Linked DNA regions of Oryctolagus cuniculus. The protein of the gene in region 2 interacts with the protein of the main gene of each other region in a pairwise test. Links are inferred from orthologs where the notes say so. Each region holds a gene or a part of one and is shown on either strand. Other genes may lie near its edges. The genes, in order: DUSP1 and MAPK14.

Region 1 (7,560 bases), on a different chromosome or scaffold from region 2:
TGAGCAAGGGGAGGAATCACCACACAGCCCAGGCGGGAGAGATTCTCACACAGCATTCCACCTAGTCCCAGAAAGGCCGCACTCCCACGGTGCAAGTGGGGAAATGCTGAGCCATGTGTGCAGGCTCACAGGGCCCACGCTGAGCCAGGGCCACTTTCTGATGGCCATCAGTGGTGTGGGGAGCAACCCGGACTGGACTGAGTTACTGGAATTAAGACTTATTCTATGCATCTGCTCTCCCACAATATGGCGCTGGGAGAGGAGGCAACAGCTTCTACCCAGCTGCCTCTCACCAACTTTACAAGCTGCAGGACCTGCTCCTGATTGGAGGAGAGCAGCGTACTCAGCATGTGGGCAGCCGAGTTAGGATTGGCGGAGGAGGACTATAAAGGAGGAGAGAGACGGCATGCACCAGGAACATCTAAGGGGAACACCTGTGTAGCCCCCGAGAGAGCCGGCCGGCGGTGTGCCGCTCCCCCGCGGAAGTGGGGAATGTGGCAGGGGGAACCGCCCTTCCACGGAGGTGGAAGGGATGGTAGCCAACCCGGGAAGGACCAGCAGCCAACCCGGGAAGAACCAGCAGCAAACCCGGGGAGGGCCGAGCAGACGAAAGAACAGCGCAGGGTCCTGTGTCGTTCCTCCACGAAGACGGGGAGCGACAAGTGGGAGCGCCACCCTGCTTTCCCATGACCCCATGGCAGATTTGAAGTCAACTCTGAGAGCAGGATTCGGCCAGGGATTGCAGGCCGGTGCCAGTCATGGCTACACAGCCCTCCAAGATGTGATTATCTGTCCATCACAAGGGAGAGAGGGAGGGCTCAGTGAAGGGAAGGAACCTACTGAAGACCACACGGTGAGGCACTGGCTTCTGGGGGCGTGCGCGGCCCTAGGTCCTTCCCACTGCCTCATACCGCCTATAGGCTCCTGTCTTAGCACATCTGGAACCAGGAAGGGCCCAACTCAGAGACACCCATGAGTCAACACAGGCTGATTCATCCTGCTTCATACCCTCCTGCCAGCCAGGCCCCTGGTGCCAGCCCCCCGCTCTCTCTGCAGTCATTGGAGGCCAGGTTATGGGGAGCCTCTGCTTAGCTCCACCCCTAGCCAGGAGCAGCGTCTCCACAGCCTGGATTGGGAGCCCCGGTGGCTACACCTTTACCACCTGGCTCTGGGCAGGTGAGCCGTGGATGTGCCCCATTGTGCTAAGGAGGGACCTTTCTCTGAGCTGGCCCATGTCCCTCTCCCAAGCCGCTGGCTTGCCCGACTGCCTCTCGCTTCTGCGGCCAGACCCTGAAACGCATGAGAACTGCTCTGCTGGGAAGGGGAAACCCGAGATGTTGAGTGAATCACAAGGAGAAGCAGCGCAGGAGGGGTTGGCTTCAGCCGCTCTCATCTGGGACCTCAAGCCCTCCACAAGGTCGGCTGGGACAGACCCACTGAAGAGGTGTGGGCTTGCACATCACTTGGGGAATAAGAAATCAAAACGACCCTGGGGTTCATGCCAGCTTTTGTACCCTTTCCAGCAAGGGATGAGAGGGAAAACTCACGAGGCCCGCAGACTCCCAACTCGAGGGCTGGACTGTGCCACGACCACTGTGCCATTTGTATAAAAAGGGGCTCTTTTTGAAACATTTGGGTAGAGGAATGTAAAATGAATACTCTTGGTTAAAAAAAAAATTTGGGACGGATCAAGTTGGTATGCAGAGAAAAGTCAGCAGCCCGAACATTCTGTGATTCAACGCAAAAATATGTTGAGTTCCTCAGCTGAAGTAGAATAAACAAACAGAGGATTCATTTTTTTTTCTTCTTTCTCGCCATCTTTCCCCTCTTATCTGAAGCCTGCTTTACTGTTGTCCTGGGCCAAGGGTCCAAGGAAGGTGGAACACTAGTTTAACAAACACACGTTTCTAGAAGCATCTGAGCACAAAGTCTCTGCATGGCACTTGGCACAAGCTACGCTAGGCAAAGGGAGAAGCTGTCTCTGGTGTTAGAACCCACAGAGGGACGACGCAGGCTGGCAGCGAACACCCCTCCCCCCAGGAGAGCAGAGGGGAAACCGCAGAATGTTCCCGATTCTGCACTCGGCCGGTGGCGCAAGGTTTGTTTGTGGACCCGACATGCCGCTGTCGCCGCGAAGGCGGCTCTCCTGCCCAGGGGGTGGTCAGCAGGGCTCGGGGCGCGCGTCTTGCAGCCGCTCTCCCCGCGCGTGGCTGGGTTGTGAGCTGGGGAGCGCTGGGCAGACGCTACGAGGGCGCGCAATGGGGCTGGGGTGCGCAAAGCCGGGGCCCAGGGGCCTCGGCCTCGAGCCAAGGTAACACGCGCGCGCGCGCACCAGCGACCCCAGTGGAGCCGCCCGGCCCGTCCCCAGGCGCCGACCCGCGCGCCCCCCGCCCCGGGCTTGCCGCCCCGCGCTCTGCCTTCCTCTGCTCCAACCTCGTAGGGACTACATGACTAGAGGAGCTATTTGTCCCGCGGCGGAGATGGGGGGTGGGGTGGCTCACTGGACGCCATTGTTCTTGCTCAACGTATACAAAGTTTTTCTTTCTTTCTCACTCCGGCCTCTCTCCTGGTGGGGACGCCATTTCCAGGGACAGAGTTGTTCATTCTCCGCCCGCCCTCCCCGGTCCACATCGTGAGCTCCTCTCCGCCGCCCCCCACCCTCCACGCTGGCCGTCGGGACCCCGGCAGCCCGGCCCGTTAGCGAGGACACGAGGCGAGCGGCCGAGAGGACCCAGCGGCGGCGCCGAGCGCCGAGAGGCCGAGGCAGGTGGCGGAGGTCAGCCTTCGGCTGGCAGCGCGCCCCTGTCCTCCCGCGGGGCGCGTACAGCCGAGCCGAGCCGAGCCGGCTGGGTCTCTGGGGACGAGCCAGGAGCAGGCCGGGGCTGGGGCGCGAGCCAGCTCGCGGGGAGCGCACCCCGCTCCGAGGCCGATGACGTCTTTGCCTCTGGCTCTGGTGGCGCCGGGCCGGGCCGGGTGGGTGACGTCACCACCCGGTCACGTGGCCGCCATTCAAACAAACAAACCCCCCTTCCCCCTCCCAGCGCGCGCCAGCCCCGCCCCGCCCCGCCCCCGGAGAGGCCCATATAACTGCACTCCCCGGGGCCGAGCTCGTCGAGAAGGACGACTGGATTGTAGGAGAGGCGCTGCGGTCGCCGGAGCAGGGACGGTCCCGGGAGCGGCTGGAGAAAGCCCGGGTGGCTGCAGTCCCGTGTGACGCCCTTCGCTCGGCCCAAAGGCAGTGTCTTGTTCCGCGCCCAGAGAGTCGGGGTCGGACTTTTCCTCGAAAGCCGTCGCCGCTCTGCTCTTGGCGTCCGGGGACAGACAAAGGACTCCGGAGCGACGTGCACGCTGGGGGCTCTGAGGCCGGCCATGGTCATGGAGGTGGGCATCCTGGACGCCGGAGGCCTGCGGACGCTGCTGCGGGAGCGCGCGGCGCAGTGCCTGGTGCTGGATTGCCGCTCCTTCTTCGCTTTCAACGCTGGCCACATCGCCGGCTCGGTCAACGTGCGCTTCAGCACCATCGTGCGGCGCCGGGCCAAGGGCGCCATGGGGCTGGAGCACATCGTGCCCAACGCCGAGCTGCGCGGCCGCCTGCTGGCCGGCGCCTACCACGCCGTGGTGCTGCTGGACGAGCGCAGTGTCGCCCTGGACGGCGCCAAGCGCGACGGCACCCTGGCCCTGGCGGCGGGCGCGCTGTGCCGGGAGGCGCGCGCCGCGCACGTCTTCTTCCTCAAAGGTACGACCTCGGGGCAGCGCTGCCTTGCCGGGGGCCCCTTGGCCCTTGGCTCTCTAGTGGGGGCGGGGACCGGCGCCCGAGTCCTACCTGGAGCGCATGGGCGCGGCGTTGTGGCTCTGGGGACTTGTCACACCGGCTTTGTCTGGTCCTGGGAACAAAGACTTGCTTGGGCCTTAGCGATATGAACTTGGAGCGCCTGGTGGGGTGGGGGCTTTGTGGGAAGGGACCTTGGCTCAACGATGCTGATGGAAGCAAACCTTCCTCTCTCTGTTGCCAGGAGGTTATGAGGCGTTTTCGGCGTCCTGCCCAGAACTGTGCAGCAAACAGTCGACCCCCATGGGGCTCAGCCTTCCCCTGACCACCAGTATCCCGGACAGCGCGGAATCCGGATGCAGCTCCTGCAGCACCCCGCTCTACGATCAGGTCAGTGGGGCCCCGTGCCAGAGGGGAGGAGTCGGGGCCAGCAAGGCTTGGAAGAGGGTGCCCGTGAGAACGTGGAAAGTGACCTGCAGCTTTATTTATAAAGGGGACTTGGGGACACTCAATGGCTCTGCGTGTCTGATGCATGGCACTACAGAAATGAACTGGCTGGTGCTGCCAGGGGCACATGGGCTTAGACCCCTGTTTGTTTATACTCCAGCAGCAGCAGCAGGGGTACTGAGAAGTTCACCACTGACTTTTCCACTGGGGAGTTTTTGTGGGTGTGGGTGCTGGTGGTGCCCTGGAGCCGGCCTGAGCAGTGTTTGGGTCTTTCTGCCTCACAGGGTGGCCCGGTGGAGATCTTGCCCTTCCTATACCTGGGCAGTGCCTATCACGCTTCCCGCAAGGACATGCTGGATGCCCTGGGCATCACGGCCTTGATCAACGTCTCAGCCAACTGTCCCAACCACTTTGAGGGTCACTATCAGTACAAGAGCATCCCTGTGGAGGACAACCACAAGGCAGACATCAGCTCCTGGTTCAGCGAGGCCATCGACTTCATAGGTGAGTGGGACGGACGCCCGGCACTGCTGATGCCTCCCCGTTTCAACCTGTCTGGCAGAGGACTTGGGTGCTGCTCTTGTGAGCCATCCACCAGACATGAACTGTCCATCTCGGGTGGACATCATCCTTGCAGAATGAGGACTTGATGTCCCACCCTGCGCATGAGCAAACCGAGGCTTGGCAAGTGGACTTGCCCAGAATCAACCTGCTAAGTGGAGACACCCCATCTGGGTTTAGTCCCTTGCTGCCCCTTTGCACGGTGCCCTCCATGATAGCATAAGTCCATGGGCTAGCGTAAGGTGATGTTGGCCGCCTGGGTAGGACACGTGTGACATTGTTCTTTGACGCTTTTTGCCTGGACTTGGGGTCCCTCTCCCGAGCTCTCTAGTAAGCAGCCGCACTTCTTGTTTTCCAGACTCCATCAGAAATGCCGGAGGAAGGGTGTTCGTCCACTGCCAGGCGGGCATCTCCCGGTCCGCCACCATCTGCCTCGCTTACCTCATGAGGACTAACCGCGTGAAGCTGGACGAGGCCTTTGAGTTCGTGAAGCAGAGACGGAGCATCATCTCCCCCAACTTCAGCTTCATGGGCCAGCTGCTGCAGTTTGAATCGCAGGTGCTGGCCCCGCACTGCTCGGCGGAGGCCAGCAGCCCCGCCATGGCTGTGCTGGACCGCGGCACCGCCACCACCACTGTCTTCAACTTCCCCGTCTCCATTCCCGTACACCCCACGAACAGTGCCCTGAGCTACCTTCAGAGCCCCATCACCACCTCCCCCAGCTGCTGAGAGGCCGGGGCGGGGCTAGGAGCGCCACCTCCACCTCCACGCGCGCCCGGGACTCCAGGCTTCCTCCTTGGTGGAGAAAGGCAATGACTCCCGGGAGGGGGCTCACGAGCGCACACCGGGCCTTATTTATGTAACGTCACCTGGCTTCCACTGGGCTCCTCTGCAGTGGTAGCGGTGACAGCAAGATGCGTGTCGCACCCAGCACACGGGGACCAATGTGTAGTGGGTACATCAAGTCCCTCCGACAAAACAGGGCAGGAGAGGAGGACTGTTTGAGCCCATGTCTTTGTTGCTGGCCCCTGTTTTTTTGTAGAAATCTTCGTGCTTGGCACACCTACCAGTATTACCATTCCTGAAGACATACACATATGAGACTATCCCTTATTTATTTTTGTGTAGGTGGTCCGCCTTCACACATGTCAGTGTCTACTTCTAGAAGAACCAAATACCTCAATTTTTGTGTTTTGAGTACTGTACCGTCCTGTAAATAGACCCAGAGCAGGTTGTTTCCAGCACTGAGGGAAGACACCAGTGTTGGCTTTTTGTTTGTTTTTTTCTTTTTTTTTTTTTTAGTTGCCAACAGTTGTATGTTTGCTGATTATTTATGACCTGAAATAATATATTTCTTCTTCTAAGAAGACATTTTGTTACGTAAGGATGACTTTTTTATACAACAGAATAAATTATGGCATTTCTATTGAAATCTCAAGGCTTTTATTTCTTTGGCTGCCTCAGCCAGCTCCTCTCCTGCAAGTGAAATAGGGAAGAATTTGGATGAGGGTCTGATCCTGTGCCCCTCCGTGGCCACTTGGTCCCGTGAGGTAGCCGAGTCATAAGGGAGGTGGACAAGAGGTCTGTCGGGAGACATCAGCGCTGCAAGTCTTACTAGAGAGGGTGAGAATGCCCCGTTCCCTTTTTAACAGTGGTGTCATCTGCCGTGTCACCTGGGATGCCCTCGTGTCCCCACAGCCACTTGGCCTGGGTTGCCTTTTCATGGAATACCGTTCTCAGGATGATATAAAAAGTCTCCCTCCACTCTAGGCTGTGTCTAAGCACTTGGCATAGATCACATGTGTTCTGACTGCGAGGCGGTGTGTGCCACCTGCCCCCAGAAAAACAGCCCAGTCTGAAGATAGGGAGACCCAGCCTAGCTCAGCGGCAGCAGGGGAATCAGAACCTGCTGTTCCGTTTTGTTACCTGATTTTTTGAGCTTTGGGTTTTATCACTCAGTCTCACATGCTTTTGTAAAGACCCTCATTTCTATGAAAATACATTAAGTGGCTAAAAAAAAAAATCCAAGCACTGTAAGCGAATAGAATACAGATAAATCACCAGCCAGACCCTCACCCGCAGCGTGACCACTGTTATGGCTTGGGAGGCTGTTGATGCCAGCAGTTCTGCAGACTGGCTCAGGGGGTGAAGGCTCAGTGTTTGGGGCGGCTGCCTCCTCCTGCCCACTTGCTTAATCTGATTTCATAATTTTGATGCAGAAGATAGGTGATTAAGCTTGACTTGCTCTAGGGTAATATTCTGAATTTGTACTCTCTCTTGCTCAGCAGAGAAGCTGTAATTTACTACCAACCCATAATCCAGTCTGTAATGTTGAATTAAATAACCACCAAGCTCTCTCGGGTTACTACAGGCCCTTTTAGGGCCTGCTTCCTGCTGACTTGTGCTGGATCAAGTGTTGTTGGAAGCAGAGAGGGAGATATCCCCTTCAAGTTAGCTAGCAATGCTCTGTGCCGTGGTCCTGGCCTAGGTCCTGATTCCAGGTCTTGACACTGACCGCGGTGTCCTTGACCTTTCTCCATGGGTCTACCACCAGCTGCTTGGCTCCGGGGCCAGAAAGATCCCTGTGTTCTAAGGACTTGCCCTGAGTTCGTAGGCTCATTTCCTCAGCTGGGTTGGGTTTCCAGTCTATGGCAAGTGTGTTCATTCTTTTCAAAACAAACCATACCCGATGTTTTTATCGAACCCTAGAAATTTACTATCGCAAACGGCTCCCTTCGTGGAAATGTACCGGGGATGGTGCCTGTGGCAGATGCTGTGGCTGA
Region 2 (7,436 bases):
TTCACTCCCCCAAGTGGCCATGTGAGCCAGGTCTGGACCAGATCAAAGCAAGGAACCGGGAACTCCATCCGAGTCTTCCACATGGGTGTCAGGTACCAAGCACGTGGGCCATTTCTGCTGCCTTCCCAGGCACAATACCAGGGAGCTGGATCAGAAGCAGAGGAACCACGACTTGAACTGACAATCTGCATGGGATGCTGGTGTTGCAAGTGGCAGCTTACCCTGCTGCACCACAACGCTGGCCCCATAATGATGTGGTTTTATTTATTTGTGCCCTTGCTCATTTCAAGTGATGGTCACTAATACTAAAAAAAATTAGCTTCATTCATATTTTATAATATTTATTGGAACAATTCTGTTCCACAAAGCACTTAGGAATTTGGACTTAATTCCTTAGTAAATTGAACAAACATTTTGTTATGTAATTTATGTGCTGATGATAAAGTACATAACACAATGCCTGGAACAGAGTAAGCAAGCAATCCTTACATTGCGGTTACTAAAACTCCTAGGCCATAAGCTCCAAGAGGGAATGAGCTGTCTTGTTCTGTTTTGCTGAGCCTTCTATCTCAAAAACCCAGCCCCCTATCTGGCCCATAGTTGGTATGCAACAAATACATATTACTGAATAAGTAGTTGAATAGAACCCAAGAGTAATTCTCAACTCCCACCTCCTATTGTGTGTTTCCCAGTTCCCTACCTCCTCTAATCAATAGCAAGGGACTGGAAAAAAGTACCCCAGAGGAAAGGCACTTAAGTTCCTGTTTACATTTCCTCAAACTCACCACAAAGTTTCTTCCCTTATGTCCCAAAACCACAAAATCAATGCCTTGCAGCAACATATTCTTAACAGTTTTGCTTCATTTCCCCTTGCAGACAATGCACAAAGTTCCTTAAAACTGCAAAACTGCTTAGTTAGTTCCCTTTACCCTTTAAAAAGAAAAGGCATATTTATGAAACCCTACCAATGCTCAAATTGCTAGTACGATTCCTTGATCTTTGATTCTAGTAGGTTATCACATAGGCTACCGGCTTTTATTTTTTACCATATATTTTATACAAATTAAAATAATAAAAATAGGCTTAAATGTTTTTTCAAAGGTTATACATCAAAGCTATCATATTTCAGAATATAGGAAACTGACATATTTCAATGCGTAGGTTGCGTTCCTTAAAATAAAATTGAGAGATACTTCAGGTCCAGTTAGACAAGTCACAAAAAACTGTGTCATTACGCTAATTTCTGACTCCTATCTGACCTACAACAGAATTGTCAACCTGACTGCTTGATCATTTTCATTAGACTTGAGTCCAAACTCCCTAAACTATTTGAATTCAAATTAACTGCTATTCCCTAAAAGCAAATCTGCTCTCAAAGGATAGACAGAGAAAAGTAACATGGGTAGCAAAGTGGATTCTAACAGCAGTTCCAAAAATTGTTCTTTCCCACACCTGAAAAGCTGCTAATTGGAAAAAAAAAAAACTTCAAATAACTACAGTACTTACTCGGATGAGATAACACTTACTTGTAACTCTAAATTCTGGTATTTACATTCCAAAATCAGATACATTTTTAAACAGTCAACTGTTACATAATTCCAGTTGTATTTTCTTCCACCAATATATCCAAGTTGCATCTTAAATGCTGCATTTAAGTTACAGCTTTAGAAATGCTGCTAAATAAGCAAGCAACCAAAACAACTCTGTCTCCCCTAAAGACACATAAGAAACAACAGCGGTTCTCTCTGCGAAAGGGAATAGCATGGCTGGAGAACAGAAAGGAGAGGGGACTTTTCACTGAGTAACTTCCTTCTGAATTTTATACAATGTTAATGTATTTCCTATTTTTAAAGAACTGTTTAACCAAAACACTTTCAAGTGTCAGATACTGCTGGCTTGGACGCTACAGAAAGCACAGTACTAAAGAAACGTGCAGTTCAGCTTGATGACACCACATTGCAAATCTGCGTCTCTGTTCCAGCACAGAGCAAGTCATACCAGCAACAAGAAAACCTTGCCAGCAGTTGAATTCAAGTTCATCCACAGTCCCTAGAGTTGAGTTGTCCCGCTATTATCAGTCCATGAATGCTTAAATATCACCGGAAACAAAAACTTGATGAATACTATGAAAATTCATGTGTCAACTCAAGAATGAAAAAACAGGGGCAGGCGTTGTGGCACAGCAAGTTAAACCTGCTGCCTGCAAAGCTGGTATCCCATATGCACTCCAGTTGGAGTCCTGGCTGCTCCACTTCTATACATCTCCCAGCTAACGTATCTGGGAAAGCAGCAGAAGATGGCCCAAGTGCTTGGGCCCCTTCACCCACATGGGAGACCAGGATGAAGTTCCAGGTGCCTGACTTCAGCCTAACCCAGCCCTGGTTGTTACAGCCATTTGAGGAGTGAACCAGGGAGAAGCTTTCTCTCTCTCTCTCTCCCTCTAACTCTGCCTTTCAAATACATAATTTTTTTTAAAAAAAATGGAAAATGGAGGGGGTGGCACTGTGGTGCAGTAGGTTAAATCTCCATATGGGTGCCAGTTTGAGTCCCGGCAGTTTGATTCTCGGCTGCTCCTCTTCCGATCCAGTTCTCTGTTGAGGCCTGGGAAAGCAGTAGAAAATGGCTCAATTTTTAAGCACCTGTACTCATGTGGGAGATCTAGAAGAAGCTCCTGGCTCCTGGCTTCAGATTGGCCCACCTCCAGCGGTTGTGACCATTTGGGGAGTGAACTGGCGGATTGAAGACCTATCTCTCCATCTCTCCCTTTCAACTGCCTGTAACTCTACCTCTCAAATAAATAAATAAAACCTTAAAAAGAATGAAAAATGGAGGTATATTAATGAGCCCATAAATTTTTTTTTCAAAGATTTTATTTGAGTGATAGAGTTACAGACAGAGAGAAGAGAGACATAGAGAAAGGTCTTTCATCTGCTGTAAAGGCCAGAGCTGGGCTGATTTGAAGCCAGGAGCCAGGAGTCTCCTCTGGATCTCCCACCTGGGTGCAGGGGCCCAAGGACTTGGGCCATCTTCCATTGCTTTCCCAGGCCACAGTAGAGAGCTGGATCAGAAGTGGAGCCACCAGGACTCAAGTCTGCGCACATGTGGGATAACAGCACCACAGCGCTGGCCACAGAGTCCTTAAATTTTAAAGGAGCAATTATCTAAATACACCTCTGAAAATTAGCAAATCAATAACTAGTATATATACTAACTAAAAAAGCTTCAAATTCCTTGAAAAGGTTAACTGCCACAGCGTAAAAGTGGGAGAAAGATGTCAGCCACGGTGACACCTGCAGCATTACTCAAGCGGCTTGAACTAGAAAATGCAATACGATCTGTTGCTGGACACAATTGCACAATCTCAATTACCCAGAAGATTCTACCAAACAGGAAATTCATGATGTGATTTTAAGAAACACGGGAATCATATTTAAAGATGAACAAATCCAAAAGCCTGGAATTTGTTCCGAACAAAACAAAACAAAAAAAGCATTTTCCTAGCTCCTTTTCCACCCATGCATGCCCAGGAATTGATAAAACAGGAAAAAGCTTACTATGAAGCCGGACACTTAGTTTCAGATCAGGAGCTCTCAAAAGATACTAAGTATAAAATACAGTGTCTAAGGCCTTGGAAGTTAGAGAAGTCAGTGAAATACTTCAGGTCTGGAAATGTCCTGGTGTCAACTTAAATACAGGCACCTTGTAAAGGACAGCTGGCCGGTGTCTAACTTTCTTCTCCTGGAAGTTCCCGATCCTAACGAAAACCAAGTGTATCTCAGGCCATAGCCACAGATAAGGTCTCTGCACACTCTCCAAGGGGCCTTAAAAATACACGATTCACAGGAATTATCTCAACTTTCAAATATTCACAGTAGCTCCCTGCACCGTGAGCGACTTTTGGGTTTCGAGGGCACGCGGCGGAGGGATCCGAGGCTCCCCTGCTCCCCGTGAGAACCCTGCTTCGTCAAACAATACTTTAAATGAGCAGTGGTATGTGACTAATCAGCCAGGCCGCCAGTTTCTCAAGCGGCAGCCACCACCGCCGCCCTCCACGGAAAGGAAACACGCTCTCGACCGAATCGGAAACACACCACTCAAGCTGGCACAGGGCTCGCCGAGATAAAGCCGATATTTTAAGCCCTATGGGTCGCTGCGAATTCAAAAAGAACGCTTCTCCAGACGGGATTTCCACAGAGGTTTGCAAAAAAGAAGGAAAGAAAGAAAAGCCTGGAGGGGGCTACCTTCGTCGTCAGTTTTGTTCAGACCACCCGATCTCCCAACCGGGTTCTGCTTTCTCCCGCAGCTCCCCGGGTCGTCCGCGCCCCCGGGACGGGTGCACCCCCGGGAGAGGGTCCTTCTGCAAAGTGTTCGTAGGGACCCCCCTCCCCAGCTCCCCGCAGAACAGCCGCCCCTCCCCCAGGGCCTGCCCCCCGGGGGGGAGCAGCGCTCAGCGAAACGAAAGCGCAGGGCGTGCGCCAGGAGCGAGCTCCAGCCAGCACCACCACCTACCGCCCACAGCGGACCTGCGCCTGCACGCAATGGACCACCGCCCTGGGCGTGCAGGCTGCGGGATGCAGGGGGTGCAGGGACAGCCATGCTCTCCCTCGGGGGAAATTCCTGCCGCTGGGCGCATAGCGGAGCCGCGGGGGCAGGCCTGGCCCTCGGGCACCAGGGGCCACCCTACCCACCGCGGCCCCGGGCCTAGCAACACTCACCACACGGAGCCATAGGCGCCAGAGCCCACCGGGGACAGATTCTGGTAACGCTCGGGCACCTCCCAGATTGTCTTGTTCAGCTCCTGCCGATAGAACGTGGGCCTCTCCTGAGACATTTTCCAGCGACGGCCGCGGGGCGAGGAGGTGGCCCTGAGGTGCCCCCGCCTGCACCCACGCCCGCTCCCCGGCCCTCGTCGCCCGCCCAGGCGGGCGGGGACCTCGCGCTGGCCGCCGCGCAGGTGCGGCTGCTGAGACCCCCGCAGACACCCGCGCGTGCGGCCCCTGTCAGCTGCAGCTGCTGGACGCGCCTCAGGGACCGAGGCGAGCCCGGCAAAGGGCAGGAGCGCGCTCCGAGGCTGAGGGCTGCGCCCGCCGGGGTCTCCCTGCACCCTCTCCCGGGCCGGGCCGACGGCGGGCCGTGCCGCTGGACTCCCGCTCCAGTTGCAGCGCCAGCTGAGGCTCCAGTGGTCGCAGTTCCAGAGCCAGCGAACAGGAGCCGCCTGCCGTCCTCTCGCGAGATCAGCTCCCGGGACTCTCCGCGAGCCGAGATTTTACCCAATATGGAACCTCCCCGCGGGAGGGGGTTCGGGAGGAGAGAGCGCCGGAGGAGCAGTTCTCGCGAGAAGAGAGCAACAGCTGGAGCCCAGAGGCAGGAACTCCCGGGGACTGTTCTTCGGGGCGCCGAGGCGGACGGCTAAGGCGGGGATGCTCGCGCACCACAGGCCGCGCGCGCCCCACTGTGGTTGGTGGGGCTGTAGTGCCTGACCACTGCGGAGAGCGACGGGGACGAGTAAGCGTGTCGGGAAAAGAGCCAACAGATCTTGGAACTGCGGCCGAGCACCTGCTCGGTGGAACTCCGCCGTTTCCAAGAAATACCGGCGTCAAAAACTGGTTCCAGTCAGAAGGCCGTCGCATTCCCGTGTGCTCATGGACAGATGGCTAACCCTCCGGGACGCTGACGAAATCGGCCCCAAAGACAAATATTAGCCCCGCTGGAAGCCGAGACTTTGCACCCGAACGGGTGCAAAGGTCGCCCCGGGACCCTCAGGGGCCTCTGCGGGGGTCGGGGCCGTACAGGTGGCTCTGATGTGTCTTAAAAGCCGTGGCCCCGAAGCTTATAAACCGACTTCGGCCCCAAGAGCAGTCCTGAGAAGAGGACTTGGAGATTTTAAGTGGGGGCTCTCCCAGGAAGGCGGAGGAGCAGGGAGTGCGCTTGTGGCAATGTCGCTTTTAGGCAAGCCGGTAGGCCCTGCTCAGTTGCAAGAGAACTCCGGTCCTCCGTTCCCACCTCATAGGGACAAGAAAATACCCGCGAGTGGGCAAGTGTTGTAACCCCAGGCCCATACCTACTGGTGCTGGCCCGGCCCGTGCTAACGCCTGCTACCCTGAGCGCAAGGATGGGAGTCTATCTTGTCCTCCGATCCTTTGAGGGCCACCCCAGGACAGGGGCCGAGGGCTCCCACGGCCGTGTTCTCCTTCCTCGCCCCCGCTCTCGTTGCCCGCCCGCCCCGAACGCCCGCGGGTTCGGCCGCAACGGCTCGGGAACCGCCGGCGTCCGGGTCGGCAGCGCTGCCAGCCAGGCCAGAGCCCTGGGAGACCCGAGCCGCCCGCCGCACTCCCGCCTCGGGCGGGGAAACAGGTGAGCTGCTGCCAGGGCCGCCCGGGAGGCGGGGCTGCAGGCAGAGAGTCGCGGGTCGCGGGCCGGGCTGGGTCCGCCGCCCGCAGCGGGGTCCCGCACGTCGCGGGCGCTCGCTCGGTCAATATTGGTAGAGTGAGTGGCTGACGACGGTGCCTGGAAGCTTATCTCCCGCCTCTGCTTTGAACGGCCGCGTGGAACGGCACCGGCAAGAGGCAGTTCGTGCCCTTTGCAAGCGGACTCCTTCCAGACGCCCTGGAGTTGGCTCGCCCGCCCCGTCGGTCTCGTCACTTTATGCTCCCTGACTGAACCCCTTCCCGATCCCTTGGCTCCTCCTCTTCCCATCCAATCCTGTTTATGCACGGGCGTCCCCCGGCGAAGAGGCGAAGACTGCTGCAACACCCCGGTCCCCATTCTGAGTCAGGCCAGCGCCAGCCCCACTCTTGCTTTGTTGGATGGAGGGCAGTCACGCCCAGCCGCTAGACAGTGGCCGAAGGAACTTGGAAATGATGCTCTTTGCTGCCGGCGCCGCGGCTCATCACGCTAATCCTCCACCTATGGTGCCGGTACCCCGGGTTCTAGTCCCGGTTGGGGCGACGGATTCTGTCCCGGTTGCCCCTCTTCCAGTCCAGCTCTCTGCTGTGGCCCGGGAGGGTAGTGGAGGATGGCCCAAGTCCATGGGCCCTACACCCGCATGGGAGACCAGGAGGAAGCTCCTGGCTCCTGGCTTCGGATCAGAGCAGCGCCGGCCGTAGCGGCCATTTGGGGAGTGAACCAACAGAAGGAAGACCTTTCTCTCTGTCTCTGTCTCTCTCACTAACTCTGCCTGTCAAAAGAAAAAAAAAAAAAAGAAAATGATGCTCTTTGCTTATGCCTTCTCTGTGTTTCAAATGCATTAGGATAAAAATCCTAATGGTAACAGTCTAAGAGGCGTGTGTGAGCGAATTACAAGTTACTTTCAAATTTTGGAAGTGAATTTTGCCTTCCCATGCTTATAGGGAACATATGGAAGACTCTCACAATTAAATGAGTCCTTTGGATGTCACATCTATTGGGTCAGCAGACAGAAAATTGGGTTGTATTTA

Evidence for each region.
Region 1: the proteins of MAPK14 (region 2) and DUSP1 interact in binary tests that used the Homo sapiens proteins (3 or more experiments, as listed by UniProt). The link is inferred for Oryctolagus cuniculus from reciprocal best matches to the Homo sapiens genes MAPK14 and DUSP1.

The regions. Positions count from the first base shown.
Region 1 is NC_091437.1:59,320,283-59,327,842, reverse strand, and holds DUSP1 (dual specificity protein phosphatase 1), read left to right. Parts: upstream 1-3,093; 5' UTR 3,094-3,369; coding exon 3,370-3,736; intron 3,737-4,013; coding exon 4,014-4,159; intron 4,160-4,500; coding exon 4,501-4,720; intron 4,721-5,135; coding exon 5,136-5,506; 3' UTR 5,507-6,209; downstream 6,210-7,560. UniProt on the Homo sapiens protein: Dual specificity phosphatase that dephosphorylates MAP kinase MAPK1/ERK2 on both 'Thr-183' and 'Tyr-185', regulating its activity during the meiotic cell cycle.
Region 2 is NC_091436.1:133,476,579-133,484,014, forward strand, and holds the start of MAPK14 (mitogen-activated protein kinase 14), read right to left. Parts: upstream 5,195-7,436; 5' UTR 4,832-5,194; coding exon 4,716-4,831; intron 4,124-4,715; exon of another isoform or gene 3,989-4,123; intron 1-3,988. UniProt on the Homo sapiens protein: Serine/threonine kinase which acts as an essential component of the MAP kinase signal transduction pathway.